Linked DNA regions of Callithrix jacchus. The protein of the gene in region 3 purifies or fractionates together with the protein of the main gene of each other region. This does not show direct contact. Links are inferred from orthologs where the notes say so. Each region holds a gene or a part of one and is shown on either strand. Other genes may lie near its edges. The genes, in order: TMEM43, SLC27A2 and SAAL1.

Evidence for each region.
Region 1: the proteins of SAAL1 (region 3) and TMEM43 purify together in Homo sapiens (affinity purification with mass spectrometry; 3 studies listed by BioGRID and IntAct, with this or other methods). This does not show direct contact. The link is inferred for Callithrix jacchus from reciprocal best matches to the Homo sapiens genes SAAL1 and TMEM43.
Region 2: the proteins of SAAL1 (region 3) and SLC27A2 purify together in Homo sapiens (co-immunoprecipitation; 3 studies listed by BioGRID and IntAct, with this or other methods). This does not show direct contact. The link is inferred for Callithrix jacchus from reciprocal best matches to the Homo sapiens genes SAAL1 and SLC27A2.

What each region holds. Positions count from the first base shown.
Region 1 is NC_133516.1:71,113,722-71,123,978, reverse strand, and holds the end of TMEM43 (transmembrane protein 43), read right to left. Parts: intron 3,311-10,257; coding exon 3,108-3,310; 3' UTR 1,273-3,107; downstream 1-1,272. UniProt on the Homo sapiens protein: May have an important role in maintaining nuclear envelope structure by organizing protein complexes at the inner nuclear membrane. Required for retaining emerin at the inner nuclear membrane.
Region 2 is NC_133509.1:37,862,994-37,873,250, reverse strand, and holds part of SLC27A2 (long-chain fatty acid transport protein 2), read right to left. Parts: intron 7,927-10,257; coding exon 7,732-7,926; intron 4,899-7,731; coding exon 4,808-4,898; intron 3,935-4,807; coding exon 3,736-3,934; intron 2,119-3,735; coding exon 2,021-2,118; intron 1-2,020. UniProt on the Homo sapiens protein: Mediates the import of long-chain fatty acids (LCFA) into the cell by facilitating their transport across cell membranes, playing an important role in hepatic fatty acid uptake.
Region 3 is NC_133511.1:84,115,733-84,125,989, forward strand, and holds part of SAAL1 (protein SAAL1), read right to left. Parts: intron 9,657-10,257; coding exon 9,577-9,656; intron 7,884-9,576; coding exon 7,824-7,883; intron 7,697-7,823; coding exon 7,581-7,696; intron 6,945-7,580; coding exon 6,764-6,944; intron 4,391-6,763; coding exon 4,308-4,390; intron 4,220-4,307; coding exon 4,031-4,219; intron 915-4,030; coding exon 718-914; intron 1-717. UniProt on the Homo sapiens protein: Plays a role in promoting the proliferation of synovial fibroblasts in response to pro-inflammatory stimuli.

The DNA.
Region 1 (10,257 bases), on a different chromosome or scaffold from region 3:
AGAAAGGCATTGTTCGACAAACAGTCCCAGCTTCTCAGGACTGCAGGCACCCACACACCACCGCCTGTGCCCAGCTTCTTTCAGATTTACATCAGAAAGAACATCCAGGTGACAGAGCAGTTTGTTTGTATGTTGAGACAGCATGAAAGAATCTTGTTTTCATGTAGGCTGGGAACTCATTACACATGGAATTTTTCTGTGTTTAGTGAAGAGATATTACTTAATCTTTGAGAGGAGCCGTTAAAAATGAGTCAGTTTTATCCAAGGGAAACAAACAAAACACTTGGGTTATGACTCATATGTGGCAAGAGGCTGGCTGGAGCTTCTTGTTGAGAAACAGACCGGGGTTGCTATGGAAACTGGCTCACACTTTTTTTTTTTTTTTTTTTTTAATTTTTTGAGACAGGGTTTTACTCTGCTGCCCAGGCTGTAGTGCAGTGGCGTGATCTCAGCTGACTGCAGCCTCCACCTCTGGGCCTCAAGCAATCAATCCTCTCACCTCAGCCTCCTGAGTAGCTGGGACCATGGGCATGCACCACCATGCTTGTCTTTCTGGGGTTTTGAGACGATGGCATTGCCATGTCTCTGCAGAAATAACTTCTTCAGGCATATGTCAGCTACTAGGAGGCATTATTGAAACAGTAGGTTATGAGAAACAGAAGAGGTTTGAGAAAGTTACCACTCACCTGCTTATGAAAAATAAAGCACTCAAACTGCTAGCATCAGAGTGGGCAGTTAGCAGCCATTGCTTCAGAACAGGAAATAGAGGAATGAAAAATTAATGCCATGAGTCAGGCATTCTATGGGCTTTATCTCATTTGGCCCTCACAATAATCTTGTGAGGTGGACAAGTGCTGTTCCCATTGTACCAGTGAGGGAACAGACTCAGATCTTTGATTTGCCCAGCATCACAACCAGTTTGTAGCAAACTTTGGCTCAGAACTCAGGTCTGTGTGCCAACTCAGGATGCCTTTGGCTGTGCAGCACACTGTTGCCCCTTCCACCTCTTCTGGCACATTCTGAAGATGCATGAAGCCTGAGTCATTCACTTTAAATCAAGCCAAAACAAAGTGGGCTTCTGTATGGAAGGCCTGAGTGGTAGGAATAGAGTTGCCCTTAAAAAAAAAAAAAAAAAAAAAAAACCTATTTTAACCACTGAAAACTCAGAACAAAGTTCCACAAAATTCAGTTCTCAATAAATCCTATGGCTGAATTATTTATAGGAATTTCAGAAAGAATGCCAAAAAATAAAAATAAAACAGGATGTCAGGGTCCCATACCAGAAGATACTTAGAAATTTATTTCAAAATTTTTCATCAAAAATACAAAGATAATACAAATTTGGTTTTCAAAGCTTTCACATTTTTCTTAACATTTTTCTCTCTAAGAACACTTTTGAAGTTGGCAGTAACTTAAAATCCTTATTAGAAAAAAACCAAATCCCAAGGATTTTGCATTTAGCCACCATCTAGTTATACTGTGTGTTTTCCAGAACCATCCTTTAAGATTTTGGGGATTTGATGAAATTGCTCATGTTATAAGCAGTTAGTGAATACTATTCAATCCCAAACCCAGATAAGTCATCTTGGGCTGGCTGTGTTTTTCATGTAAAGAAACTCATTTATAGTACAGGCACCCCAGGCCAAGAGAGATGACTACAGATCTCTGGTTTCAGAAGTTCTGACCCCTTCCTTATTTATCTACCAAATACTTAACTTGCTAAAGCAGTTATTCCCAGCAGGTGCAAAAGTTTCTGAATGTGAGAGAAGGTATACAAATCATTTAAGACATCATCCTGGTTACAGCATACTTTAAAAGGGTGTGAGAGTAGTTGGGAAACAGAAATTCTGTGACTTAGGTGTGGGTGGATTTTATTTAGGATGACTAAAGCTATGGACACAACCCGCAAAAGAACCACTCAGAAGCAAAGATAGGAGGCCCAGGTGCCCGTGCCCAAAGCACTCCCAGTGAAATCAGCCAGGCAGGTGTGGGCATTCTATAGCAAGCCTCAGGCCCCAGTTCTTTATTGTGGTTGACTGGGCTATGAAGGAGCCCATTCATTTAGTATAAAGATTCCAACTTTTCTCTTAATATTTTCTTTAATCTTTTAAATCATCTTGAAGTGCACAGGGGAGTTTCCGATGCCAGAGGACGAAAGCAAGTGCTTTCTCCACCTTCTCTTCCCAGAGGGAACAAATCCTTTTGCTAATGGTTGTTTCAAAAGCATCCCTTGTAAAGCTTCTCAGTGACACAAAATACTGACAGAGGTAACTTTTTATCAAACTACACACCCCAATTTAACACCTTTCAGTGCTCTGAATTCAACTGACAGACTAAAAGGTGTTTCCCGTAACAGTCTGAAATATTAATCATTCAGGTCTGTGTGTGTGGTTTTTTTTTTTTTAAATCTTTCAGAAAACTCCCTCTTGCGGTAGGAAAGTACACAGGAAGCAGCAAAATGAAGAAAAACTTAAGTAGGGCCTTCAGAGACCCCACACACTACAGATTCTACCAAGCCATAAGGTACATGTAAAGCCCAACATATGTCCAGCTTTTCTCCTTGGAACATCTTCAGTGTTTAAGTAAAAAATCAGGTTCTGGCCACAGACTAGATTTTCGGTGTGCCTGCTTTGTGGGGTCCATGCCCAGTGTGTCTGCTGGTGACCCAGGACTCAGCAGTAATGACAAATGGCCACCCCTCAGGATCACAGATGTGCTTGGTGGTGGTGGCAAAGCCTGGCACCGTGTGCAGTGATGAGAAGCAGCATATAGCAAGGCTGAGCCCTTTATCAGCAGGCCTCTGTGGAGCGTCTGCGTCGTCAGCTGCCGATGGGCTGGGTGGCCAGCCGTACCCACTCAGTCCAGGAGAGAGGAAGGAAACAGTAGGAGAAGCTGTCAGGTTGCCATTTACAAGCTGCTTACTGGCAAGAAGGGGCATGGGGAAGACCAACCCGTTGCATGTGCTGTCAAGTCTGGCCCCTGGAGAGGAGAGGGGGTGCAGAGTCCAAAACTGCTCCAAGCTCCTGCTCTGGCATGGAGCTGGGTCAGGGGTGAGGGAGACCTGGATCCTAGAGCTCACGCAGGTGTCGAGTGGGTGCCAGGTCTTTTCACTCCAGCTTTTTGGCCGGCACTCGTGTCCGAGCAACAATGATGGGCACCAGGGCTAGACTGGCGATGAGGAGGGCCCACAGGGGCCGGTAGAAGAGCCAGCCAGCCGCCACAGTCAGCAGGGTCAGTGAGGTGGCCATGCAGAAGGCAAAGGCTTTCAGGCCAATGTTGACCAGGTCTCGGAAGACAGGAAACCAGTCCACTGTGGAAAGGAGAAAGGCAATGCGGTGTGACCCGCTCTACATCTCACCAGCTCAGCAGATCACTCCTGTCCCTAGGTAAGGATGGGCCTCTGTTGCTTCGTGCGTGAGGAGGGGAGAGAGTCAGTGCAGCAGAAGGCAAAGAGCCTTGTTCTGAGAGCTAAGGGAGCACGGGAGCCTCTGCTATGAGCTGCATGGCTGGACACACTGAGCCACCCACTCTACCCCGCTGCAGGGGAGAGGGCATGGCAGTGCTCTGTAAACTTTAATACTATATGTGGATAGTAGTCTGAGGCCAGTATAAAGACATTTGCCTGGAATGCTAGAAATACCCTGGGTCCTACATACTCACACAAGAGTCTGTAGGTGGAGCCTCCTGTGGGTGCCTGTTTGGACCTCTCAGCCATTCCTAGAGGTGTTTATTCGTTCATGCAGTAAGATGTTACTAATTATTTATCTGCCCAGCACTGAAGCAGCAGGTACTATAGGGAATAAATTAGCCTAAGCATTGGCCTCTCCTCAAGAATCTGACAAACTATTGGTTCAACAGGATAAAGCCTAGGTTCCAGCTAAATTCATGAGGAATTACCCTATTCTTGCCTTGTGTGACCTCTCCAGGTTGGCGTTCCATAGCTCATGTCCACTCAGGGAATCTTCGCTCAGTTCCCAGGAGGTCACCAGTGGTCTGGAATCACTGGGTTTGCAGAGCCAGTCCTGGTGCCCCACCATGCCTGCAGCACATCCTGCAAGCCACCATTGGGACTCATCCTGGTCTGTTCCATACGGCACTGCTACTTACCCCTTATGATCAGCAAAGTTCATGTTTCTGAGCATTGCCTATGTGTTATCTCATGAAGTGCTCATGCCCACCCCGTACGGTAGGTATTCTTCTTAACTTCATTTTACCTATAGGGTCACTGAGGCTCAGGGAGTTAAGAAACTCACCCCAAGTAAAAAGTGCCAGAACCAGGATTTGAACTCATAACCATCTAGGCCCAGAGCCTGGGCTCTGAGCTATTGCTCTAAGCCTATCTCTGTTGCTATGGAGTCTTACACATGGTAGTCAGTATTTATCAAACGTATAGGGGAGTGTGTGCTTCCCTGCTGCGCTCCCAACTCACCCCACCCGCCCTGCAGGTTTCTCCACACTGAGTCTGTCTGAGTCTGGAGCATTCCAGACATAGAGTGAACTGGAATCTGAAGACGTCAGAGATCCAAAGAAGGGCCCTCAGACAGACAGGAGGAAACTGAGGCTCCAGAAAGGAACTGGTCTGCCCAAGGTCATAAAGGTAAGATGGAGGATTCCGTTTAAATGCTGACCTCGGGGGAGGACTCAAGATGGCGCTGTGAGAACAACCCAGGATTGGAGCTCTCGTTGAATCCGCAAACAGTGAGTCGGAGCTACATTTCCAGACTGATCTTTGTTGCCCACAGAACGGGGAAACTCCCAAGTATAAAAAAGACACGGGATGCCAGGCAGTAGGTCTGCCTGGCAAAGCCGGCAGCTGGGGCGGCGGCAGCCGGCCCTACCCAGCAATCCCCACAGGGCGCGCTTGTCCGGGTGCTCTGTTGAACCGGCAACCTGAGACTTGAGAGGGCTGGACTTGAGACTGAACGAGACTTGGACAGTAGGCAAGCCCAGGGGATTGCAGGGACAGATCGTTTGGGACACCCAGTGGGACAAACAAAACTGCGATTTCAAACTATCCCGAGCAGATGGTCCGAGACGCTCTGTGGGGGAGGGGCGTCCACCACTACCGAGGCAACGCGCCCCAACTGAGATACACGCCACTGCTGACGCAGCCAGCCGTTGCCGAGGCAACCCGTCCCTACTGAGATACACGCCCACTGCTGACGCAGCCTGCCATTGCTGAGGCAACACGCTACAACGAAGAGACTCCGCTGCAGGGCATGGCAGAGACCACAGCAGAGCCTGCAGGAACAGGGCGAATCACACAACAGCAGGGCGGAGCCTCGGCAGCCAAACAGTGGCTAGTCTGCCTTCTAGCTGGGCAGGACACCTCATCGGACATCGAAAAATAAAGCCCGAACCCCCCAACACAGAGCATTTGAGAAAAAAAAGGGTTTTTTTTAATGAGCTCTGTTGCAGCAGAATCAAACATAGCAGCCTAACAGCCCTGAATGAACAACAGAGCTCACAGCTCAGCAATTGAGCTCCAAAAAAGTACACAGACTGTCTCCTCAAGCAGCTCCCTGACCCCTCTATATCCAAAAGACTGACATTTGGCAGGCATCATCCTGGGACAAAGATAGCAGAAAAAGAAACGGGTAGCATCCCTCACTGTGCCACAGCTGCTAGAGGTGCACCCCAGACAAGCAGGGCCTGGAGTGGACCTCAGCAGTCGTACAGCGAAGGGGCTAGGCTGGTAGAAGGAAAACCAAGTAACAGAAATACTTCATCATCAACAATCTGGGTGTCCACTCAGAGACCCAATCAAAAAGTCAGCAACTACGTAGATGACAAGCGGATAAACCCACAAAGATGGGAAGAAACCAGCGAAAAAAGGAGGAAAACACCCGAAACCAGAGCACCTCGCCTCCTAGAAAGGACCAAAACTCCTCACCAGCTAGGGAGCAAAGCTGGATGGAGAATGACTGTGACGAAATGATGGAATTAGACTTCAGAAGGTGGATAATGAGAAACTTTCGTGAACTAAAAGAACATGTATTAAATCAATGCAAAGAAACTAAGGAACTTAAAAGATATGAGGAAATGATAACAAGAATGGATAACTTAGAGAGGAATATGAATGAATTAAAGGAGCTGAAAAACACAATACGAGAACTTCGTGAAGCATGCACAAGTTTCAATAGCCGAATTGACCAAGCAGAAGAAAGAATATCTGAAGTCGAAGACCAACTCAATGAAATAAAACGAGAAACCAAGATTAGAGAAAAAAGCGCAAAAAGGAATGAACAAAGTCTCCAAGAAATGTGGGACTGTGTGAAAAGACCTAATCTACGTTTGATAGGTGTACCAGAAGGGGACGAACAGAATGAATCCAAGCTGGAAAATACTCTTCAGGACATCATCCAGGAAAACTTCCCCCACCTAGCAAGACAGGCCAACACTCAAATGCAGGAAATACAGAGAACACCACAAAGATATTCTGCAAGAAGAGCAACCCCAAGGCACATAATCGTCAGATTCAACAAGGTTGAAATAAAGGAGAAAATACTAAGGGCAGCCAGAGAGAAAGGTCGAGTTACCCACAAAAGGAAGCCCATCAGACTCACAGCAGATCTCTCGGCAGAAACACTACAAGCCAGAAGAGAGTGGGGGCCAATATTCAACATTCTTAAAGAAAAGAACTTTCAACCCAGAATTTCATATCCAGCCAAATTGAGCTTCAGAAGTGAAGGAAAAATAAAATCCTTTGCGAACAAGCAAGTACTCAGAGATTTTGTCACCACCAGGCCTGCTTTACAAGAGCTCCTAAAAGAGGCACTACACATAGAAAGGAACAACCAGTACCAGCCATTCCAAAATCACACTAAAAGTTAAAGAGCATCGACATAATGAAGATTCTACAACAACTAACAGGCAAAACAGCCACTTAGTATCAAAATGGCAGTATCAAATTCACACATAACAATATTAACCCTAAATGTAAATGGACTAAATGCACCAATCAAAAGACAGAGACTGGCAAATTGGATAAAAATCCAAAACCCATCAGTGTGCTGTATCCAGGAAACCCATCTCACATGCAAGGATACACAAAGGCTCAAAATAAAGGGATGGAGGAAGATTTACCAAGCAAATGGAGAGCAAAAAAAAGCAGGAGTTGCAATTCTCATCTCTGATAAAATAGACTTTAAAGCAACAAAGATCAAGAGACAAAGAAGGCCATTACATACTGGTAAAAGGATCGATACAACAAGAAGAGCTAACGATCCTAAACATATATGGACCCAATGCAGGAGCACCCAGATACATAAGGCAAGTTCTTAATGACTTACAAAGAGACTTAGACTCCCACACAATAATAGTGGGAGACTTTAACACTCCACTGTCAATATTAGACAGATCAACCAGACAGAAAATCAACAAGGATATCCAGGGCTTGAACTCAGACCTGGAGCAAGCAAACCTGATAGACATTTACAGAACTCTCTACCCCAAATCCACAGAATATACATTCTTCTCAGCACCACATCACACCTACTCAAAAATTGACCACATAATTGGAAGTAAAGCACTGCTCAACAAATGCAAAACAACTGAAATCATAACAAACAGCCTCTCAGACCATAGTGCAATCAAGTTAGAACTCAGAATACAGAAACCAACCCAGAACCACACAGCTTCATGGAAACTGAACAACTGGCTCTTGAATGTTGACTGGGTAAACAGTGAAATGAAGTCAGAAATAAAGAAGTTCTTCGAAACCAATGAGAACGAAGACACAACATGCCAGAACCTCTGGGACACATTTAAAGCAGTCTCTAGAGGAAAGTATATAGCAATAAGTGCCCATATGAGGAGAATGGAGAGATCCAAAATTGACACCCTATCGTCAAAATTGAAAGAGCTAGAGGAGCAAGATCAAAAAAACTCAAAACCCAGCAGAAGACAAGAAATAACTAAGATCAGAGCTGAACTGAAGGAGATTGAGATACGAAAAACCCTTCAAAAAATCAATAAATCCAAGAGCTGGTTTTTTGGAAAGATCAACAAAATAGACAGACCACTAGCCAGATTGATTAAAAATAAAAGAGAGAACAACCAAATAGATGCAATAAAAAATGATAAAGGGGAAATCACCACAGATTCCACAGAAATTCAAACCATCATCAGAGAATATTACAAACAACTCTATGCACATAAACTAGTAAACCTGGAAGAAATGGATAAATTCCTGGACTCCTGTGTCCTCCCAAGCCTAAACCAGGAGGAAGCTGAAACTATGAATAGACCAATAACAAGGGCAGAAGTCGAGGCAGCAATTAAGAGCCTACCACACAAAAAAAGCCCAGGTCCAGACGGGTTCACAGCCGAATTCTACCAGACACACAAAGAGGAGCTGGTACCATTCCTTCTAAAACTATTTCAAACAATCCAAAAAGAGGGAATACTTCCCAAATCATTTTACGAGACCAACATCATCCTGATACCAAAACCCGGCAGAGACCCAACAAGAAAAGAAAACTTCAGGCCAATATCCATGATGAACATAGATGCAAAAATCTTCAATAAAATATTGGCAAGCCGAATGCAACAGCAAATCAAAAAACTTATTCACCATGATCAAGTAGGATTCATCCCAGGGATGCAAGGCTGGTTCAACATACGCAAGTCTATATACGTAATTCACCACATAAACAGAACCAAAAACAAAAACCACATGATTATCTCAATTGATGCAGAGAAGGCATTTGACAAAATTCAACAGCCCTTTATGCTAAAAACCCTCAATAAACTCGGTATCGATGGAACGTATCTCAAAGTAATAAAAGCTATTTATGACAAACCAACAGCCAATATCATACTGAATGGGCAAAAACTGGAAGCATTCCCTTTGAAATCTGGCACTAGACAAGGATGCCCTCTTTCACCACTCCTATTCAATATAGTTCTGGAAGTTCTAGCCAGAGCAATCAGGCAAGAAAAAGAAATAAAGGGTATTCAAATAGGAAAGGTGGAAGCCAAATTGTCTCTATTTGCAGACGACATGATAGTATACCTAGAAGACCCCATCACCTCAGCCCAAAATCTCCTGAAACTGATAAGCAACTTCAGCAAAGTCTCAGGATATAAAATCAATGTGCAAAAATCACAAGCATTCGTCTACACCAATAACAGACTTAAAGAAAGCCAAATCACGAATGAACTGCCATTCACAATTGCTACAAAAAGAATAAAATACCTTGGAATACAACTCACAAGGAACGTAAGGGACCTCTTCAAGGAGAACTACAAACCACTGCTCAACGAAATCAGAGAGGACACAAGCAGATGGAGAAACATTCCATGTTCATGGTTAGGAAGAATTAATATCGTGAAAATGGCTATACTGCCCAAAGTAATTTACAGAATCAACGCTATCCCCATCAAGCTACCATTGACTTTCTTCACAGAACTGGAAAAAACCACCATGAACTTCATATGGAACCAAAAGAGAGCCCGCATAGCCAAGTCAATTCTAAGCAAAAAGAACACAGCGGGGGGCATCACACTACCGGATTTCAAACTATACTACAAGGCTACAGTAATCAAAACAGCATGGTACTGGTACCAAAACAGAGATATAGACCAATGGAACAAAACAGAGGCACCGGAGGCAACACAACATATCTACAACTATACAATCTTTGATAAACCTGACAAAAACAAGCAAGGGGGAAAGGATTCCCTGTTTAACAAATGGTGTTGGGAAAACTGGCTAGCCATGTGCAGAAAGCAGAAACTGGACCCCTTCCTGACACCTTACACTAAAATTAACTCCAGATGGATTAAAGACTTAAACATAAGACCTGGCACAATAAAAACCCTAGAAGGAAATCTAGGCAAAACTATCCAGGACACAGGAGTAGGCAAGGACTTCACGAACAAAACACCAAAAGCATTGGCAACAAAAGCCAAAATAGACAAATGGGACCTGATGAAACTCCACAGCTTCTGCGCGGCAAAAGAAACAGTCACTAGAGTGGATCGGCAACCAACAGAATGGGAAAAAATTTTTGCAGTTTACCCATCTGACAAAGGGCTGATATCCAGAATTTACAAAGAAGTCAAACGGATTTACAGGAAAAAAACAAACAAGCCCATTCAAAAGTGGGCAAAGGATATGAACAGACACTTTACGAAAGAAGACATATATGAGGCCAACCATCATATGAAAAAATGCTCATCGTCACTGGTCATCAGAGAGATGCAAATCAAAACCACATTGAGATACCATCTCACGCCAGTTAGAATGGCGAT
Region 2 (10,257 bases), on a different chromosome or scaffold from region 3:
AGGCTGGAGTGCAGTTGAGTGATCTTGGCTCACTGCAACCTCCAACTTCCTGGTTCAAGTGATTCTCCTGCCTCAGCCTCCCAAGTAGCTGGTATTACAGGCACACACCACCACACCCAGATAATTTTTGTATTTTTAGTACAGACGGGGTTTCAGCACATTGGCCAGGATGGTCTCGATTTCCTAACCTCATGATCTGCCTGCCTTGGCTTCCCAAAGTGCTGAGATTACAGGTGTGAGCTACCGCACCTGGCCAGACTTCAGTGTTTTTAATTTTATTTTCAATTTTTTTTTTTTAAAGTGGGAGAAAGGCTTGGCCAGGCAGCCAGCAGCCTCATCCCTGACTTGAGTGTTTTTAAGAATCCCTGGGGTGTTTGTGCCAGCACAGCTTCCTGAGATTCTGACTCAGTAGTTTGGGGTGGGCCTGGAGAAACTGCACTTGTAACAGACTTCTGGGTGATGCTGACACTGCTGATCCAGGGAGCCCACTTTGAGGAACACTGGGCTAGATCCTTCCATTTCATCTTCTAGAGTCTCTCACCTCATACATACTCTTTTGTGTGGTTATTCTTTTTAAAATCGGCATTTAGAATCATAAACAACATTTGAAGAAGGGTCTGCAAGAGCTGAGTATGGCACAATGGCCGACAACCACAATGTAGACCCTTGTGTTAACCTGGCATAAGGCCTGAGGCATTCTCCAATGGGAGTATTCACACCCCCTTACGTTCTGTCCCCTCTCACACCAAGATGTAGCCTTATTTCCCTTGGTGTCATTGTCCTAGAGCTTGGGAGGAACAATCAAGAGACATTCTTGAATATTCTTCTTGGTTTTTTTTTTTGAGATGGGGTCTTACTCTCTCACCCAGTGGTGTGATCTTGGCTCACTGCAACCTCCATCTCCTGGGTTCAAGTGATTCTCCTGCCTCAGCCTCCTGAGTAGCTGGGATTATAGGCACAAGCCACCACCCCTGTCTTATGTTTGTATTTTTAGTAGAGACAAAGTTTTGTCATGTTGGCCAGGCTGGTCTCAAACTCCTGACCTCAAGTGATCTGCCCTCTTTGGCCTCCCAAAGTACTGGGATTACAGGTGTGAGTCACTGCATCTGGCCTTGAATAGTCTTTAAATAATAAAAAGCATAAGGCCATGTAGAACCATCACAGCTTAGGAAAAAGGGACTTTTGGATTACTATTTTGAATATGGGTGGGAATCCCAAATATGAGTTGTGGAGGAATGATAATACCCCTAGTGCCTTATCTTTGGACAGTAATTTGGAGGCTGGAATACTGACATGTATAATTAACGTGATTTATTGTCTCAACAACCCTTATATATAAATATTGATAAATATATGCTTAGCATTGATGTAACTAAAATGAATTCGTTCTCTTGAAAACCTTAACTGCAGGACTGGTATCATCCTTAATTTTATTATTTGCCCACAGTCAAACAACCAGCAGGTGTTGAAGCCAGGACTCAAGGTCAGACATTGGCCCTCCCCCACTCTGCAGGCAGAAACAGATCTGCAGATGAAGCTGTGGTAATAACATTCTTGTGTGATGATTCTTCAACTTGGGGTGAAGTGGGCTTAGAAATCTTAAAAAGAAGAGACTGTACAAAATCCACTTTTCCCCAGTTTTTTTTTTTTTTTCTAGCAACTGCACGGGCTCTTCTTTGTGCCTCCTAGTTCAGAGGCCAGGACATCGTTTCCCAGCACTTAAGCATGACATGACTTTTCTTGAGGTGTGCCAAAATGTGGCATGGAGCACCCATATCTGAGACTTTGCCCGTGAGCCCAAGAACGGCTGGGAGCTGAACTGAAGAGAAAGCCTTGTTCTAATGCACTGAGTTGGCTTTTATAATGGAACATAAGCCAGACATAAGCTCCTTACTCCCCAGCAGCTGAAAGAGCTGTTTAACTCTGGATGGCAGAAGAAAGCAAGACAAACTTTGCCTTGAGGTTAAAATTATGTTCAGTTACTCTATGGGTTTAGGCACAGATTATATTTTGTGTATACCTGGCACATGCACTCCATAAACATTCACTTCTTGGACAAAATCAAGCAGTCCTATTATATCAGCAACTTCAGTGGTGGCCACGTTTTCCCCTTTCCACCTGGAAGAAAGGACAAAGTTAGCAGAGGTCATTGTTGGTTTCTGGCAGACGTTGTAATGATGGACAGCAGGTGTTTCCTGCAGATTTCTGCAGGGTGCTGATCTCTTCCTCACCTTGGCCCCTCAAACTCCCCAACTTAGTCCTGGCTGGGGTATCTTGCCTGAGACATAAAAGTGAAAAGTATAGACCTAGATAACAAAATTTGGAATTTCAATCTCACCACATGAAACACAATATACAGAATAATGTTCTAATATTGAAATAGAGCCCTGGCTAAGAAAGGCACTGGAAATCAGAAAGAAATCTCAACTATTTTCTGCTGTGTTTAGGCCTCTCAATTTTTCACTTGCTAACTCAAGTTGCTATTTAATTCAGTTTGTGAAGTTCTCTTTAATAGAACTTCATATTTGTATTTCAGGGTCTCATGGCAACAAGAAAGGAAAAAACAATCATACTTTAGTTACAGGGAGATTATAATGTTAAAGCCCAACCAGGTGATATTTTTCACTTAATAAAGAGTTAAATTTTGTTTCCATTAAAAATTCATTTTATTTTATTATTTTTTTTTGAGGTGGAGTCTCACTGTTGCCCAGGCTGGAGTGCAGAGTCAAAATCTCGGCTCAGTGCAACCTCTGTCTCCCTGGTTCAGGTGATTCTCCTGCCACAGCCTCCCTAGTAACAGATTACAGGCATGAGCCACCAAGCCCAGACCATTAAAAATTCTTTAGTTCTCCCAGAAGCATCTTTCTAATAACATGGAGATGACATAAAGTGATATGGATCTTAAGATGTGCAATAGTAGAGATGGAAGGACCCTGAGAATCATCATGACCCTCATCTCAAGGGCAAAAGAACTGGGATCCAGAACGGTTACCTGTCTTGATACCACTGCTGGTCAGGGGGGAGAGGTGAGCCTGGTTCTCCTCATTCCACTCTGCTGTCTTTGTACTAACTGCAGTTAGACAACTTCCATCCCTTCCTCATTCATTCATGCAAAAAGTGATTATGTGTGTCAGGTACCATGGTAGGAGCTGGGGGTGAACAGGCAGACACAGGGCCTGCCCTCAGGGAGTTTACATAGGAAGGAAGCTGTGTCTGAGGCTGGAGGACTGTGCTATGGTAGGGAATTAATTTCATCGTCTATTAGAAGGACTTCCAGATTTCCTTGTGCTGACCTGGGGGTTTTGTGGGAAACCATTTGGTTGGGGATGAAAGGCGTTGGGGGAAGGGGTTCAGATGCAAACTACCATTAGTTTGCATCTGATTTTATATTAACACCTCCATGATTGGAAAGGTGAAAATCCTTGGCTGTCCTAAGAGTGACCAGTAATAATACAGGACAAACAAGGGGAGTTAAATGGACTTTCATCTCCAAAAGTCAGATACAGGTTTCCTGGCTTATTCTCATCTGGTGTTGCTCAGCCAAGTTAACCGTGCCCTGCAGAGTGACACTTCGTGCACTCCATTCCTCATTCTCTGCGAACACAGGAGTTTGACCTATGTGCCAAAGATAGAGAAGGAAATGCACCATAACCAAAGTGGAATGCGATTCCAATCTAGGAATAAGCCAAACTGTGCGTGTGTTTGTTTTTGGCTCAATGATTCAGAAAAACCAACCGGAATGTATCTCCAACTCTGTCGTGGAAATAGATGAAATTTTCACGGTCAACCATTAAGAGATCTCCACTGTTGAAATAGAGATCTCCTTTCTTAAAGACATCTCTCAGTTTTTTCTTCTCTGTCTGAGCCTTTCCCCCAGCATAGCCACTAAATGGTGTAAGTTGTGTGATTTTGCAAACCAGAAGTCCAACTTCACCTAAAATAGAAGAAAGTAAACTGTTATTTTGTGTGCTAGAGGTAAGCAAATGTATACATCAACCTTCTCTTAAAACTAATGCCATAAACCCACTGGCAACAAACCGGCTGTAGGCAGTATCATTTTCCATGCATGTGTACATGTGAGTTGTATGTACATATATATCACAGACACACATATATATACCATACACACATATATTGTACATTATTATATATGTATTGCATATGGCCTAATTATTTTATTTTATTTTATTTTTTAGATTAAATCTTGCTCTGTTGCCCAGGCTGGAGTGCAGTGGTGCAGTCTTGGCTCACTGCAACCTCTGCCTCAGCCTCCCAAGTAGCTGGGGTTACAGGTGTGTGCTTTTTTGTACTTTTAGTAGAGACAGGATTTCATCATGTTTGCCAGGCTGGTCTTGAACTCCTGATCTCAAATGATCCATCCTCCTCAACCTCATAAGTGCTGAGATTACAGGTGTGAGCCACCACACCTTGCCTGTAATTCTTTTAATGCTAATCTTATACTGAGTAATAATTTGCACAGACTTACATAAATGCACACTAGTTAAAGCTTAAAGGTAAAGACCACCTGAAACTATGGTTTTGCAACCACAATTCCATATCCCTTCCCACAGAACATTACCTCATAAACAAGAAGTTGGTAAGCTAGGTTTAAAACTATAATTATGTTACATGCAGTGGTAAATTAGCACCTTTTGGAATTCCTGTATATTGGAGGGTACTTAAATGACCCCCTGGCTTTTCCCCACTCTGATAAATTTTACCATGTGGCAATAAGATGTTAGTCCTTAAAAGTCAATTGGTCAAGATAAGAAAGGGCACAGATTGATTGAACAGAAGTCCACTGTACCTTTGGGAACTCTGATGCAATATCCATTTTCATCACGGATGGGTTCATCTTTCTCCACGTCATACTTAATCAGGTCATAAGTTATGGCTTTCTAGCAAGATTAAATGTATAATTTTGAGTATAAATCTTTTATAATTTTTTTCTTTTAAATTGTGGTATAACATACATAAAGTATATAAAGTACATCGTAGGGGTATAAGTTGATGAAATTTTACATTTGCATATACCCTTAAAACTGCTACCCAGAGAGAGAGAGAAAATATTTTCATTTCAGCTAGAGAGTTTCCCCCTGCCCTTTTTTGTGAAGTTAACTACTATTCTGACTTATATCACTGTCAATTAATCTTTTTTTTTTTTTTTGAGATGGAGTTTCACTCTTGTTGCCCAGGCTGGAGTGAAATGGTGAGATCTTGGCTCCCTGCAACCTCCTCCTCCCGGATTCAAGTGATTCTCCTGCCTCAGCCTCCCGAGTAGCTGGGACTACAGGCATGTGCCACCATGCCTGGCTAATTTTGTATTTTTAGTAGAGATGAAGTTTCTCCATGTTGATCATGCTGGTCTGGAACTCCTGACCTCAGGTGATCCACCCACCTTGGCCTCCCAAAGTGCTGGGATTATAGGCGTGAGCCACCGTGCCCGGCCCAATTAAAGTTCAGATAAATAAAATAAATGTATGCTTTTGTGTCTGCTTCTTTCACTAAATATGTCTGTAGTTTTCATCCATCAATGTTGGTGTTTTTTATTGCATGCAACTTTCCCTTGTATAAATATACCACGATTTATTTATCTATTTTCTTGTTAATGGGTATTTGGATTATTTCTAGTTTTGGACTATTATAAATAAAACTGTTATGAACATTCTTTTGTCTTTTGGTGGATATATCACAAATGGGTTTTTTAAATCTTATATATTTAATATGCCACTGTTAGATTTTTCATGTTTCTACAGTAATGTTATCTATTTTAGAATCAAAAACATAATTATTTCATGCCTATGACTATAAAAGTATTAAAACTCTATCACATTTAACACATAATTCAATGCATAAGAATTAAATTTTCAGCAATTCAGTGACAGCAATAATAAACATATTATTTTCCTTGTTGGAAGAAAAATGCAAACATGACAATATTTGGATGTAATTATTAGCCATGATTACTGTGTCTATTTCAAATTTATATTCAAGCTTATGTGATGAAGCAACCAATCATATACTTTAGTATTAGAAGGCAACTTCATTAAAAAAAAACAAGTTTCACTTATGGCTAACAAATATAGATCTTATCTGTAGGAATATAAAAAATTTATAGGTTGTAATGAATGTTTTTTCCACATCAATTGCATGTCATCATCTGCTTTTTAAAGTTTTTTTTCTTTAATGTTTTGCTTAAAGAAGAAAAACTGACAATAAAACATGGCAATCTGAATGAGAAAGTAAAGAACAGGTAATACACAGCACTAACGGACTCTCTCAGCAGCAGTTCCAATGGGGAGTAGGAGATCGATTCTCAGTCTGCAGCAGCACTGCCTAGAAATCTGCTGTGATGATGGAAATGTTCTCTGTCTACATTGCTCAATAGGGTAGTTACTAACCACACGTGGCTATTTAGCACTGGAAATGTGGCTAGTGTGACTGAGGAACTGGATTTAAACACTTATTAATATAACTTTAAATAGCCACATGTAGCTACTGGCTACTGTTTGGACAGTGCAGGTCTAGAGGACTGTGGAGGGACCTGTGTGGCATAGGTGGAGCTGTCATTGCCAGAGAGGGTCTTTGAACTTGGGAACACCTTTAGATTAGACCAGAATTTAAGAAATGGAGTAACCATCATCATTATGGCTAACAATTATTCCAGGCTATTAAATGACGGGGATTGGGCTATTGCCTCTAAGGGCCTTTTCATAAGTTATTTAATCTTTTCAACAATCCTTTTCCCTTATTGAGTGTGGGCTAGGAACTGGGTTCAATATTTTCTCTTGTTAACTCTGTTTTACAGATGATGAAATTTAGGCCTGAGGAGCATACGTGACCTGCCCAAGGTCACTCAGCTAGTGTGTGGTGGCACTGAGATTTGCTCTCCAGAGCTTGGCCTCTTATGCACATGAACTACTGTCCTCTGTACTCTGTTGGTCTGTCCGTGGGGACAGAGGTTGCGTGAGAGTTCCATTGTTCATTGTGGCTGTTTCATGGCCAGACGGGAGGAGCTGCCCAGAGGCGTAATGACCTCAGTGATTTCTCAAGCCAGTGGAGGCTCAGCATTTGCCAAACATTTCTGGATATTTGCAGAATAGTTGGTTGTCTGGAAGACTGACTGCTTGAGTACAAAGATGACAACAGAGACCCACAAGCAATAAAACGACTGACAGGGAAAAGAGACTGCTATGTGAACTGGCTTAAAAATAAGAAGTATTTTTCTGGTGGAATTATTAGTGGACATAAATGTTTACTAGATCCTAGCACTGAGATGCCTGGGCTCCCTCTCAGAACCACTGAATCCAAAGCCTAGCGGGTGGGGCCTTGCATCTGTGCAAAAAAAGCTCCCCAGGTGATTGTGATGCACGACACAATGAAAGGGAAACACTATGTTTCACAGCATACGATAAGCTTATGGAATTTGTAAACTTCAGGTGTTTTATCACATATGAGGAAAAATGGCATCAGGAAGACTTCACCTAAGTTGCAGATGGCAAAGGCACAATGGATTGTTCTTAATAGAAATTGAGATGTTTTTAACTGGAGGATCTGATTTTTTAAGGTCATCATCACAGAGAATGAGCAAAACCTCTCTTGGTGATAGGAATGGGCCATGGCTCTGATGCTGCCTGACTTCCGATAACAACATCTTCATGACTTGGCTTTTAAGAAGTCTCTGTATTCTGAAAACTGGCTATGTATGCTCTCATATTTCAATGCACTTACTTTCTGTAGGTAGTTTACTCTTCCAATAGCACCGACTTTTCTCGTATAATTCAGAAATCCAATATTGCCTTCAGTGGCAGCATAGAACTCATAGATGTGAATGTCCCCAAATCTCTTGACAAATTGTTTCCACACATCTCCTCGTAAGCCATTTCCCAGTGCCAATCTCACTTTATGATCACGGTCATTTGGTTTCTGTGGTAGGGGGAGAAGAAGGAGACCAAACTGAAACATCTCTGGAGCCTATACTTACGTATTAATAATTGCCTTTATTTTGTATGTATTTAATTTATACTAACATTGCCTTTATTACATAGTTATGTTGGTTACAAATACCCTTTAGTGTCTGTCTTTTTCTTGCTACCAACACACATTATTCACCGTTCCTCTAGCACAAGCAGTATGGTCTGACAGCTGGAACTCTGATTTAATAACCAAAACATGAATTTTCCCATTTTGATTTTTAAGGAGCCAGATGAGACAACCTGACAGAACCAGGTGATGCCAACATTTAATCCACATCCTATCTAAAGTTAGAATAATGTGAATAATGGTATTCACAGTTTTCTTGGTGAGGCTGGTGAACATCAGTGAATTTCTAGAAAGGAGGAGCCACATGGGAAAGATCTGTCAGAGATGGACACAATCTACTACCAGTGGGACCCTAAGCAGTGTCTAGGATTTTTATGACAATGAAAAATAAAACAGGAAACACAGTCCAGTGAGAGAAAGAGAGAGAGAGCGAAACGTTTTCCACAAAGTCATTAAAGAGCAACGTTGGAGGCTGTGGGAACTGGAGGGAAGAGTCTTGACCATGCCCTTCCCTGTTTAAGAGGTAGGCCCCAGAGTTCGTAAGACCAGGTAGAGCTGAACCGAGACAACAAAACTGTCCCAGTGGGATGCGAAGGGGAACAGGAGGAGGAGGCCACCTCCCAGTTGCCTCAGGTGGCCTGGGAGGAATATGCTTTGCTATACATAAAGATCACAGAGGAAAATCTGTTTTGGGTGTAAGGACTGAAAGGAGCCTTTCTGGCTCCTCCTCCCAGAGGTGGGGCTATGACCAGGCTGCCTTCCATTCAACCACACTCATTTAGGAGACCCACAAATATGTCCATGTCAATGATGGTTTTATTTATCTTATTATTTTCAATTGTTAAAAAAGACTAGTCAAGTACAGTAGTGAGATGAGGGGAAAAAACAGAAGTTTGATCTCTAACTGTGAACGATTAATTGAGATAACTCACTACCTTTAGACCAGCCGAGTGATGGTTTTAATGATATCTTATGTTAATAATGTACTTTACGTCCTCCAGGAAATCACAGGCTGGTGGAAGAGACAAAATAAGTAGGTATAATTTTACCTTGTAAATTCTGTTACTCTATGACCTTTATTCTATCAGGATGCAGAATGATATAGGGTAAGTGCTAGGTCATTGGGGCTCTCCTCTTATATCAACTGTTAATCTCTTTGATAAAACAGCAATTGCTTAGAGCATTTTCTACATTATTTCCTACACTGTGAAATTACTGTGAAGTGGTTTTGAAATAAGAATTACTCTTTGAAAAGAACTATAAGGATTGGGGACTTTGGCATGGCAATTAAAAATCACACCAAGACAAACTGAATTGGTTTCCATGCAGGAGGAGCTAAGGGGACAGGGAAGCAGAAAATACACATTTAATTTTTAAGTAACTTGGCCAGAACATACGTGGCTCTTTCAGGAGTCTTAACCAGAGAGGGGTACTGATGCTGATCATTGGTGAACATGGGCTCCTTGAGCAGTTATTCTGAGGAGGGAATGTGTCAAGAGAGACCAGGGCCCCCTGCCAACGGCTCTTACCCAGGATGTCTGGGAGAATTGCCTGAGAAGCCTTTTGAACCTGCAGGAGACCTAGACATTCAGAATGAGTAGGAATCTATTCTCTCTCTTTTTTTTTAGACAGGGTCTTGCTCTGTTGCCCAGGCTGGTACAATTATGGCTCACTGAAGCCCTAACTCCCAGGCTCACGTGATCCTCCTGCCTGTCTCATGAGTGGCCAGGACTACAGATGTGTGCTACCATGCCTGGCCAATTTATTTATTAATTTTGGACAGATGAAGTCTCACTATGTTGCCCAGGCTCATCTTGAACTCCTGACCTCAAGCTATCCTCCTGCCTTGGCCTCCCGAAGTCCTGGAATTACAGGCATAAGCCACTGTGCCCAGCCAGAATTTATTCTCTGCTGGTCCCTAGGTCACTGGCTCTACTCTGCTTTATAATTACTAAGCTCCCATAAGTCAGGAGATCATATGTCTTGTTTGCAAGGGGAAGCCCTGGCTATACCTATCCTGGAGTGCTGGTTATCTTTCATTATCTTCACCCTCAAGTGTCCCTGTTTGGATAATGAATTGTACGGTCACCCTGCCCACAAGGCACTATCCTCTTCTGTAAGACTGTCAGTATCCACCTCCTCCCACTGCTGTCCCAAGGATAAAACATCACACGTATTTCAAGACTTCCTTTTGCTTAAAGAAAATAAGCTGAG
Region 3 (10,257 bases):
TTTTGTAGAGATGAGGTTTTGCTGTGTTGCCCAAACTGGTCTCAAACTCCTGGGCTCAAGTGATCTGCCTGTCTCAGCCTCCCAAGAACTGTGATTATGGGCACCTGGTCAAAAGTAAGTTCTTGTTAGGGAATACTCTTTTGAAAATTCAGTGGGTATGAGTAAATATAGTTATATTTATAACATTTTATATTCAAAATACATAATAGAATATATTAATAACATATTCATAATCTGTTTCTTTCCAAATACATGGATAGAAAGAATATGGTCAAAGGAAGAATGTTAATCACTGAACATATTCAGGGAGAATATTCCTTAGGAGAAGTTTGTAGTAAATTTTGAAAACTGATTGTTTGGTAAATTAGGTTTAAATTGGTTCTCAGTAAAAAGTCTTTCATCTAGAATCAAGAAAAATGCTTATAACACAGTGTTAGGGAAAAGAGCAGTCTGTATATGCTGGGTGAAAGTATACAAAAATGCATTTATAAATATATATGCATGTAAACATATGTTTGTCATACATAAATTAACCAAACTACATCTACTAGCGGTTTTTAAGATTATAAACTCATGGTGATATTAAAATTTTACTTTATTTTCCCAAATTCAATTTTACTTTTATATTAACAAAATAATAGCAGTATTAATAAAGTTTGGAGCATTAAGCTGTACACACTTTCACTTATGACATCATCATCAGTACTTCTTTCCTACCTTTGTTAATGCCTGAAAAATATTAGAAAGAAATTCACATAAAATATCCTTTAAGATTTTCAAGTGGAAATCATCTTGGGTTAAATCAGTCTTTTTAGTTTCGTCTGTGTTAGACTCTGCCGAGTTCTCTGGTTTCTTCTGACACTGTTCCATATTTTGTAAGACCCGAATGAGGCTGTCAATTAGAGGAAGATCTACTGTATAAACAAATCAAGAAGCATTGAATTGGCCAGTTAAGTTTGGTTTTTCATTCATACGTATTGAGTTAGTGCTAGACATCATTAGTTTAGGTATTACAGATACAGTGGTAACACGACCAAGATGTCAGCCTGTAAGTGGCATATATTTTTATACTTTCAAATAAGTAAATAAAATAGACCATTTCAGGTTTTGGTAAGTTCTATGAAGGAAATAAAAGAGGAATATAACATAATGGTCTAGCAGGGAAAGCTCTCTGAAAAGGTGACACTGAGTTGAAAACTAAAGCAATGAAACGTTAGCAATTAAAAGAGCCCCGGAAGTCAGGCCTGGTGGCTCATGACTATAATCCCAGCACTTTGAGAGGCCAAGATGGGCAAGTAGCTTGAGCCCAGGAGTTTGAGATCAGCCTGAGCAACTTGGAGAAACCCTATTTTACCAAATACAAAAAATTAGCTCACAGGATTTTTCTTCCACCTCAACTGTTCCATCTTAGTCCAAGTTATAACATTTCTTGCTAGAGTCAATTATCCAAACTCTAAAAGCCTCCTAACTCGTCTCCCTTTTGTATCCATGGCCCCCTTCATTTCTCATCAAAACAGCAGCCTATTAAAGTCAGCTCATGTGTAAGCAATATCTGCTTAAAACCCACCATGGTTCCCTAACTCATTCAGAGGAAAAGGCAAAATCGGAACCTCCATACTCTACCTCTCTGGTGCTACTTTGCTAAATCCACCTCAGCTATTTGGTATCTCACTGTTCCTCCTTAAAGACACCAGGCATACTTCTGGTTCAGGGCTTTTGTACCTTCTATTCCTTCTCTCTGGAATGTTTTTCTCCCCAAGTATGCACATGACTCCCTCCATTCTTCTCCTAAGATCTGTACTCAATGCCACCTTCTCAATGATGTAACATATCTACAAATGAAAATCTTAAAAATATTCAACATTTTTTTAATTAAAAACTCAATAAAATAGAAACAGATTAATACTTCCTTAAATGGTAAGACATGTATCTTTTTGTTGAGGGGACGGAGTCTTGCTCTGTTGCCCAGGCTGGAGTACAGTGGTGAGATCTTAGCTCACTACAGCCTCTGCCTCCCAGATTCAAGTAACTCTCCTGCCTCAGCCTCCCGAGTAGCTGAGGTTACAGGCATGTGCCACCATGCCTGGCTAATTTTTGTATTTTTGAGCAGAGACAGGGTTGGCCAGGCTGATCGTCAACTCCTCACCTCAGGTAATTTGTCCACCTCGGCCTCCCAAAGTGCTGGGATTATAGGTGTGAGCCACTGCATCTGGCTGTAAAACATGTATCTTATACCCAATAATGCTTAACAGAACTCTAGGATTATTCCTAATAAAATCAGGAACAAGGGAAGGGTGTTTTCTATCATCACTTAATAGTGATGATAGAAACACCAGAGATACTAGGCAACCCAGACAGAAAAAGAAACCACAGATAGAGAAGTGATAAGATATATCTAATTTAAGCCAAAGCATTATCAGATAAAGCCCAAGGATTATTATTGGAATGACTATTAAAAATAGTAAGAATTTGGTAAGGTTACAGGAGGCAAAGTTAATATACAGAAATCAATAGCCTTCATATATTCCAACAACAATAATCAGTGGAAGGAAACATGTCATAGACAATAGTAAACCCAAAGGATAAACTACCTAGAAATGAAATTAATAAGAAATATACAAGATCTATATGAAGAAACCATTACTGAGGGACAAAATAAGACTTGAACAAATGAAAAGGCATAACATATTCTTATAAAATTAACACAATATGAACAAAAATATCAGAGTTTTTGTTTTTGGAACTTAAGTTAGAGATAAGAATAGTTAAAAATATTCTGAAAACTCAGAATGAAGAGGGATTCACTCTATTAGGTATTAAAACATAAAACCTTAATATTTAAAAACAATATGGCTACTAATATGTAAATAGAGCAATGGAACTAAATAGAATATATAGGGGAATTTAAAAAATAATAATGATGAAATTTCAAATTAGTGTAGGCAAGCTGGATTATTCACTAAATGATGGTAAGATAATGGGGTAGCCCTCTGGAAAAAAACGGATACCACTAGTACCAAAGTTATCAAAGGGGGGAAAAAATTAAAGCCACACTTCACCTGTGACACCAGAATAAATTCTAAATGAATCATGAATTTAATTGTAGTCATAAAAATCATTCTGTGAAAGAATATGTATTTGCAAAGGAAAATATTCATTTTTATTTTCTAAATGAAATGTTGGCTAAAAAGCAGAATTTAAAAAATACATATGCATGCATTGGATGCTACATTTACAAGCATCATGTTTCCTTGATGTTTTTTATAAATTTTATACATTTTTAGGCAGGGTACAGTGGCTCATGCCTATAATACCAGCACTTTGGCAGGCAAGGCAGGAGGGTCATTTGAACCCAGGAGTTTGGGACGAGCTTGGGCAAGATGGCAAGACCCAGTCTCTATAAAAAAATTTAAATATTAGCCAGGTGACGTGTCATGTGCCTGTAGTCCCAGCTACTCAGGAGGCTGAGGTAAGAGAATTGCCTTAGCCCAGGAATTCAAGGTTTCAGTGAGCTATGATCCTGCCATTGCACTAGAGTCTCAGCAACAAAGTAAGACTCTGTTTTTAAAATAAGTAAATAGCCAGGTGAGTTGGCTCATGCCTGTAATCCCAGCACTTTGGAAGGCCGAAGTGGGTGGATCACTTAAGGTCAGGAATTAGAGCCCAGCCTGGCCAACATGGTGAAACCTCTCTCTCCTGAAAAAATACAAAAATTAGCCAGGCATGATGGTGTGTGTGCCTGTAATCCCAACTACTCGGGAGGCTGAGGCACGAGAATCACTTGAACCCAGGAAGCAGAGTTACAGTGAGCTGAAATCACATCACTGCACTCCAGCCTAGGCAACAAGGCAAGACTCCATCTCCAAAAAATAAAAATAAATAAAAATAAAATAAGTAAATAAATATGATAATAAAATAAATTTTTAAAGTTTAGCATGTAACATTTCTATAATTAGGGGAATGAAACCATTTTTAAAAGGGAGAAATAAATGAAATGAAAAACAATATGAGCCTAAAAAATTGTACTTGCCTTTTTCTATCTTTAGATATTCTTGCTCAGTCTGTGAGGCATAGATGGCAGACAACACAGAAAAAACAGAGGCGAGCACTGTTTTCTGTTCTTGAAGAATGATGGGTGGATCATCAGACTGGCAGAACTCATGGCAGACCAGGTCGAAAAGTAAATTCCAAATATCTTTTCCAGTGTCAGGACAATGTACTTAATAAAGATAATAAAGAAAGTAGTAATTTAAAATCAGCAAAGAATTAAATGAGTAACTGTAGTGCATCCGGAAAAACCATCTTACCAATTGCTTGAATTCCATCATCCACTGTAGTAAGCAATTGTAAAATGTGCATGTAAACATCAAGCCATTCTGGATTTTCAGAGCTAAAAAGGAAAGTAAAAGCCACAACTTTACTGTACCAATCATTCATCCATTCAATGAATATTTATTACTCTGTGCCAGCCACTGCTCTAAGTGCTGAGGATAAAACAAGGAAAGGAATGAAGTCTCTATGCTCATTAGAGTTTTTATATTCTAATAGAGGAAACAGCAAAAAAAAAAAAAAAAATCACAAATATTATATAATATAATCAACACACACAGGCAAGAAGTAAAAAAATTGTTTGCCTTTATCTCATAAAAGTAACAATGCAGAAACCTGCTAGTTGATACTTTATCATTTTGGTTTGCTTGAATAGTCAGAACAAAAAATGACTGAGATTTTTAGAGTATGAGAGTAAGGTCCACTGCACCATGCATCAACAATGATGTTCTGAAAATGTCTCAGGATTATACTAGCTCTCTAGCTGAGAATACTAAAACCACATAAGTCTAATTCTTACGATCAACAGTTTGGATTCTTAAAAATCTAAACAGTTTAGAAACTCAAAATCTTAGTTCTTCAACCAAGCAAGTGAAAGACAGTGAACAATTAAAACAATGGTTTGGCAAATGTTTATTTAAGTACTTACTACTTTCAGGCACTATGTTAGGAACTAAGAAAACAGATGTATAAGATGTTATCCCTATTTTCATAAAGTCTATACTCTAAAAGGAAAGAAGATTGCTAGCAGGGTAATGATAATAAAGTAGTATGCATGTAGCACTATTGGACTAGGAACTTCTCAGAACAAGGAGACTTAGTTTGCAAGGTCAGGGAAGGCATCTTATGAAAAATGATATTTACACAGAAACATGAAGGTGCAAAGTGTTTGAGGTGAAGGAGACATACTGTGCCAGGGCCTGGCGACAAGAGAGCCTGGTTCAATTGAAGAAGTGAAGCAAGCTTCACATGACTGAAATTCAGAGTACAAGGAATAAGGATAGAGAGGCATTCTACTGAGCTTATAAGCTGTACTTTTTTTTTTTGAGAATTTTTCATTTATTTCATTCTTTTTTCACCTATTTATTTAAATTTTCGATTCAGAAGGTACATGTTAGGGGCTGTTACATGCATGATGCTGAGGTTTGGGAATACAGATGGTCCCTTCACCCAGGTGATGTATATAGATTTCAAGCTCTGTTTTTTTGGGTTTTTTTTTGGACCTTATCCTAAGGAAGGCAACTGAAAAGACTGAAGCATGAGAGTGAGATGAGTGCGTACTTTACAAAAACAGCTTTTAAGTCTAGGCTTGGGAAGAAGCAAGCATAGAGGCAGGGAATTCAAGTAAAAGAATGTGGCAGTTCTCCAGATGAGAGACAATAATGGCTTGTTTGGCATGGATAAAATCCCAGGAAAAGTCAGGAATAAGGGTTGGAAGTTGACTACAATGGGACAATATTGGGGCATTCAGTAATGGCTTCTCCATTTCTTCTATGTTATCCAAATAGGATAATGATTGCACCATTTACTGATATTGAGAATACTGATGAAGCAGATTTAGGGAAAGATGATGAATTTAATCCTCACTTGGATAAAGGACACAAAATTAATAGGTTTTGATGTGGCTTACTCAGCACTAAGAATGCACTAAGCAAACCACTAAGCAGATCAATTTCAAAATTAATTTTCTAGTGATTAGCAATAAATAGTTTTAATGACCTGTAAGACCTAGTAATCACTCTTGGCAAGACATCAGAGTCCCAAAATCAATCACTTATTGAAGACTGGCATATAAACACAAGGAGCTAAATAAATAAATAAATAAATGATGTGCAACGCTAAGAACCTGTTAAATGTTCAATGCAAAATAACCACATGAAAATGTTTTCTCTTTATTTATTTTTTTTTTTTTTGAGACAGAGTTTCACTCTTGTTACCCAGGCTGGAGTGCAATGGCGTGATCTTGGCTCACTGCAATCTCCACCTCCTCGGTTCAGGCAATTCTCCTGCCTCAGCCTCCTGAGTAGCTGGGATTACAGGCACGCGCCACCGTACCCAGCTAATTTTTTGTATTTTTAGTAGAGACAGGGATTCACCATGTTGACCAGATGGTCTCGATCTCTTGACCTCGTGATCCACCCGCCTTGGCCTCCCAAAGTGCTGGGATTACAGGCGTGAGCCACCATACCCGGCCCTCTTTATTTAATGTTGAATAACAGCCTATAGCTAAATGATAATACAACAGGAACTTTGTAACCATTATCATTCTTGCAAAAAGCAAACATGTTGCATTACAAATATTAGTAGTGAATCAACGTAACAAAGAATGACTGTATACTTCCGTCTGTTGCAAGGAATCTAACAAGACTTATGTCTGAGAATGCTTCCAGCAATTGCATTTTCCCAGAACACTTGCATGAAAGAGCTCACCTACCGTACTTGTTTGGCAGCCTCAAGTATACAAGGCACAAGCCTAAAAACTGGCTGCTCATCAGACTCTTCCTGGGGTTGGTCTAGAGGCTGAGTAGCCCCATTTCTGACCCATTCCAACATCAGTTTCTCATCCAAATCAAAGAGCTTGTCCACAACCTCCCCGACCTTCACCAGCAAGTCAACTGCAGAGAATAAAACAGATGGTTAAGCAAAATTCTAAAGCTATTCTAAGAAAGCTAAACCTTGCTCAAGTAGTACTTATTCCAAGGGTGATTTACTTATCTCCTATGTTTAAATTTGCTTATATTTCCTTATTTTTAAATGAGGAATTTATCAGTGTCCCAGGAGTTTAAGAAATTTTATATCTTCTTCAATCAAAAAACTGTCTCCAAAAAACAAACAAACAAAAAGCTGGGCTTATACCTATAATCGCAACACTTTGGGAGGCTGAGGCTGGGTGACTGCTTGAACCCACGAGTTCGAGACTAGCCTGGGCAACAAAGCAATACCCTGTCTCTACACAAAATTCTAAAATGAGCTGAGCGTGGTGGTGCATGACTAGAGCCCCAGCTACTGGGGAGGCTGACAGAAGGATACCTTGAGCTCAGGAGTTAGAGGCTGCAGTGGGCTATGATCACACTACTGCACTCCAACCTAGGTGACAGAGCAAGATTCTGTCTCAAACAAACAAACAACTTTATTACCTTGCACTCAAGCCTTTTTTTTTTTTTTTAAGGCTTCTAGAAATAGTTACATGGTTTCCTAAAAATTAAGTAAAATTTAAAACACTTTTTTTTCTAGAGTACATGATGACTCACCATTTGTTGAACTTGACATAATGAAGCAAATGCTATCATAAATAGCCGGATGTTCCCGGATCCTTTCAACCCAGACACTGGCCACTTCTGCCTGGGAAAGGCAAGTAAGCAACAACCTATATGGTAAACGTGGGTTGAATTTCTACTTTTCAAAAACAGTAAAGGAAATTTGAAAATAAAAAATTAACTTTCTTAGCTACTCTTATGAGTAACATTATAGAATTCATAAAAGGAAACGCATACCTGCTTGTTTCCAGCAGAGTAGGTGGGTCTGAATCATACAAACAGTGCAATAACACCTGCCTACAAAAACACAGAAGTTAACCGATATGCCTCACTTCTTGCATTTGGAGTATCAGAGTTTTCATTTCATTTTTTGAACATCTTTATTGTGAAATACAGCATGTATACAGAAAAGCCCAAAATATACAAATCTATAGATAATGAATAATTCTAAAGCGAACACTCATGTTTCCAAGAAACAGAATAGAGCTGCATCTCTGTAGTCACCATGTGTCCATTTCAAATCACAATTCTCTTTCCCAGCTAGAAATGATGACCATTCTGACTTTTCCAGCAATCATTTCCTTACTTTGCTCTATAGTTTTATTATTTTATATATTTTGGTGTTGCCTTATACCGCAGGTAAAAGGATTAAGATGCCATGCTGAATAGACATAATCTGGGAGGTCATTTGGATTCATGAAGATGCTCACGAAAGGGAGACAGCATATTGAAGAAATATTACACTTATTCTTTTGAGTCTTCATTTATTTGCTGAAAACTATGTATGTAAGATCCACCCATGTTGTTCCTGTAGCTGTTGTTCTTTGATACACTGCTGCAGAGCATTCCATTGTGTGAAGGTAACACAATTTATTTTTCCAGACTATTGTTAATGGACATTCGTATTGATTCCAATTGGGGCTATTTCAAGCAACTGTCCTATAATATTTGTATGAGTTATTCTGATGCACACGTGCACAGTTTCTCTTACCATATATGCCCACTATGAGCTGGTCACAGCACATGCATATGTTCCAATGTGACCAGATAATGCCCAACTATTCTAAAGTGGTTCAACAAATTTAGATCCCATCAGCATTTAACTGAATTTATAACATTTGTTAACATTTCTCACTAGAGGATTTTGATAGAGAACATTAGAGACTGAACACAATCCTGAGTCGTTTGTTCCACAAATGACTATAAATTACTGAGGAATAAATAACCCGAACTAGGATCTTAAAGTCCCTCCACAACTAGGAGTTACCTATTTTTGAAAAACCCAGGTACTTGAATCCTGTAATAAAACCCTTATGGCCCCAGTTCTGACAAAAACTGCCTAGAAACAAATTTCTTTGAGATTTTGATTAATAGCCATGAACCCTTTGCCTAGAAAACTAATATACCCACAAAATTTAGAATATGATTTCAGGGTGTTCCCAGAACACAGTAACCACTTGGGTTTCCTCCATTAAAAAACTTTCTGCCCAGGACTTTACACATGAAGAAGAGAACTAGCCTCAAAGCAGAAATACGAGTCTTTTAATCACATGTGCACCCCTTTATCTTCTAGTTTGTTAGCAAGTCTTACCCTCTAAGTCAGAGTTCTCGGGATGACATTATTCAACAAATCTAGTTTCTGTAGACTCCAGCTGAGTCATTGGGTTCCTTGCACCTAAACTGTTTTGGATTCCAGTTGGCTGCCCCATCTCCAAGTTTTGTCCCACTGGTTCTTCCCCTATCTGGCTTACTGGCAACGGCTGACAATTCAGGTTCCCTTGCTACTGAAGAAAACAGGCTTAAATCCTGAATCATTTCAGTACCTCCTGAAGAAGCCCCTAACTATCATCAACACACAAAGAAGTTCCTAGAGAGTGTTCATCAGGACAGAGGAAGGACTGTTTTCAGATTTGCTACTTTTCCTATGTATAGAATTTCCTTAAGGATATAAATGAATATATTAAAAACATCATTATGTAGTAAGACTTACCCAAGATTTTCATCACTGCTGATGGACACACATATCTCTTGGAAACAGGCCATATTACCTAAAATTCCCACACAGATTTCCTGCCAAATCAAATTTTACAAGTCACAATGGCTCTGAGGTGAAAGACACATAAACAGAATTAACAATCTGAAAAAAAAAAAACTTTCACTGAGCTAAGTTTTGGGGCAAGGTGGAGGGGAAGCAGGATAAAGAAATACATATACTACCTATACCCTAATCTGGACAAGCTTACAGTATCTGAGAAGGAATGAAAGACATAGAAAAAGAAAAGGCAAAGGTAGGAGATATGGAAGAAGAATTCTTTTTTTTTTTTTGAGATGGAGTTTCGCTCTCATTACCCAGGCTGGAGTGCAATGGCGTGATCTTGGCTCACCGCAACCTCCGCCTCCTAGGTTCAGGCAATTCTCCTGCCTCAGCCTCCCGAGTAGCTGGGATTACAGGCACGCACCACCATGCCCAGCTAATTTTTTGTATTTTGAGTAGAGACGGGGTTTCACCATGTTGACCAGGATGGTCTCGATCTCTTGACCTCGTGATCCACCCGCCTCAGCCTCCCAAAGGGCTGGGATTACAGGCTTGAGCCACCGCGCCCGGCCGGAAGAAGAATTCTTAACAATAAAATGAGTTTAAAATGATTGATAGGATCGAGATATGCAAACA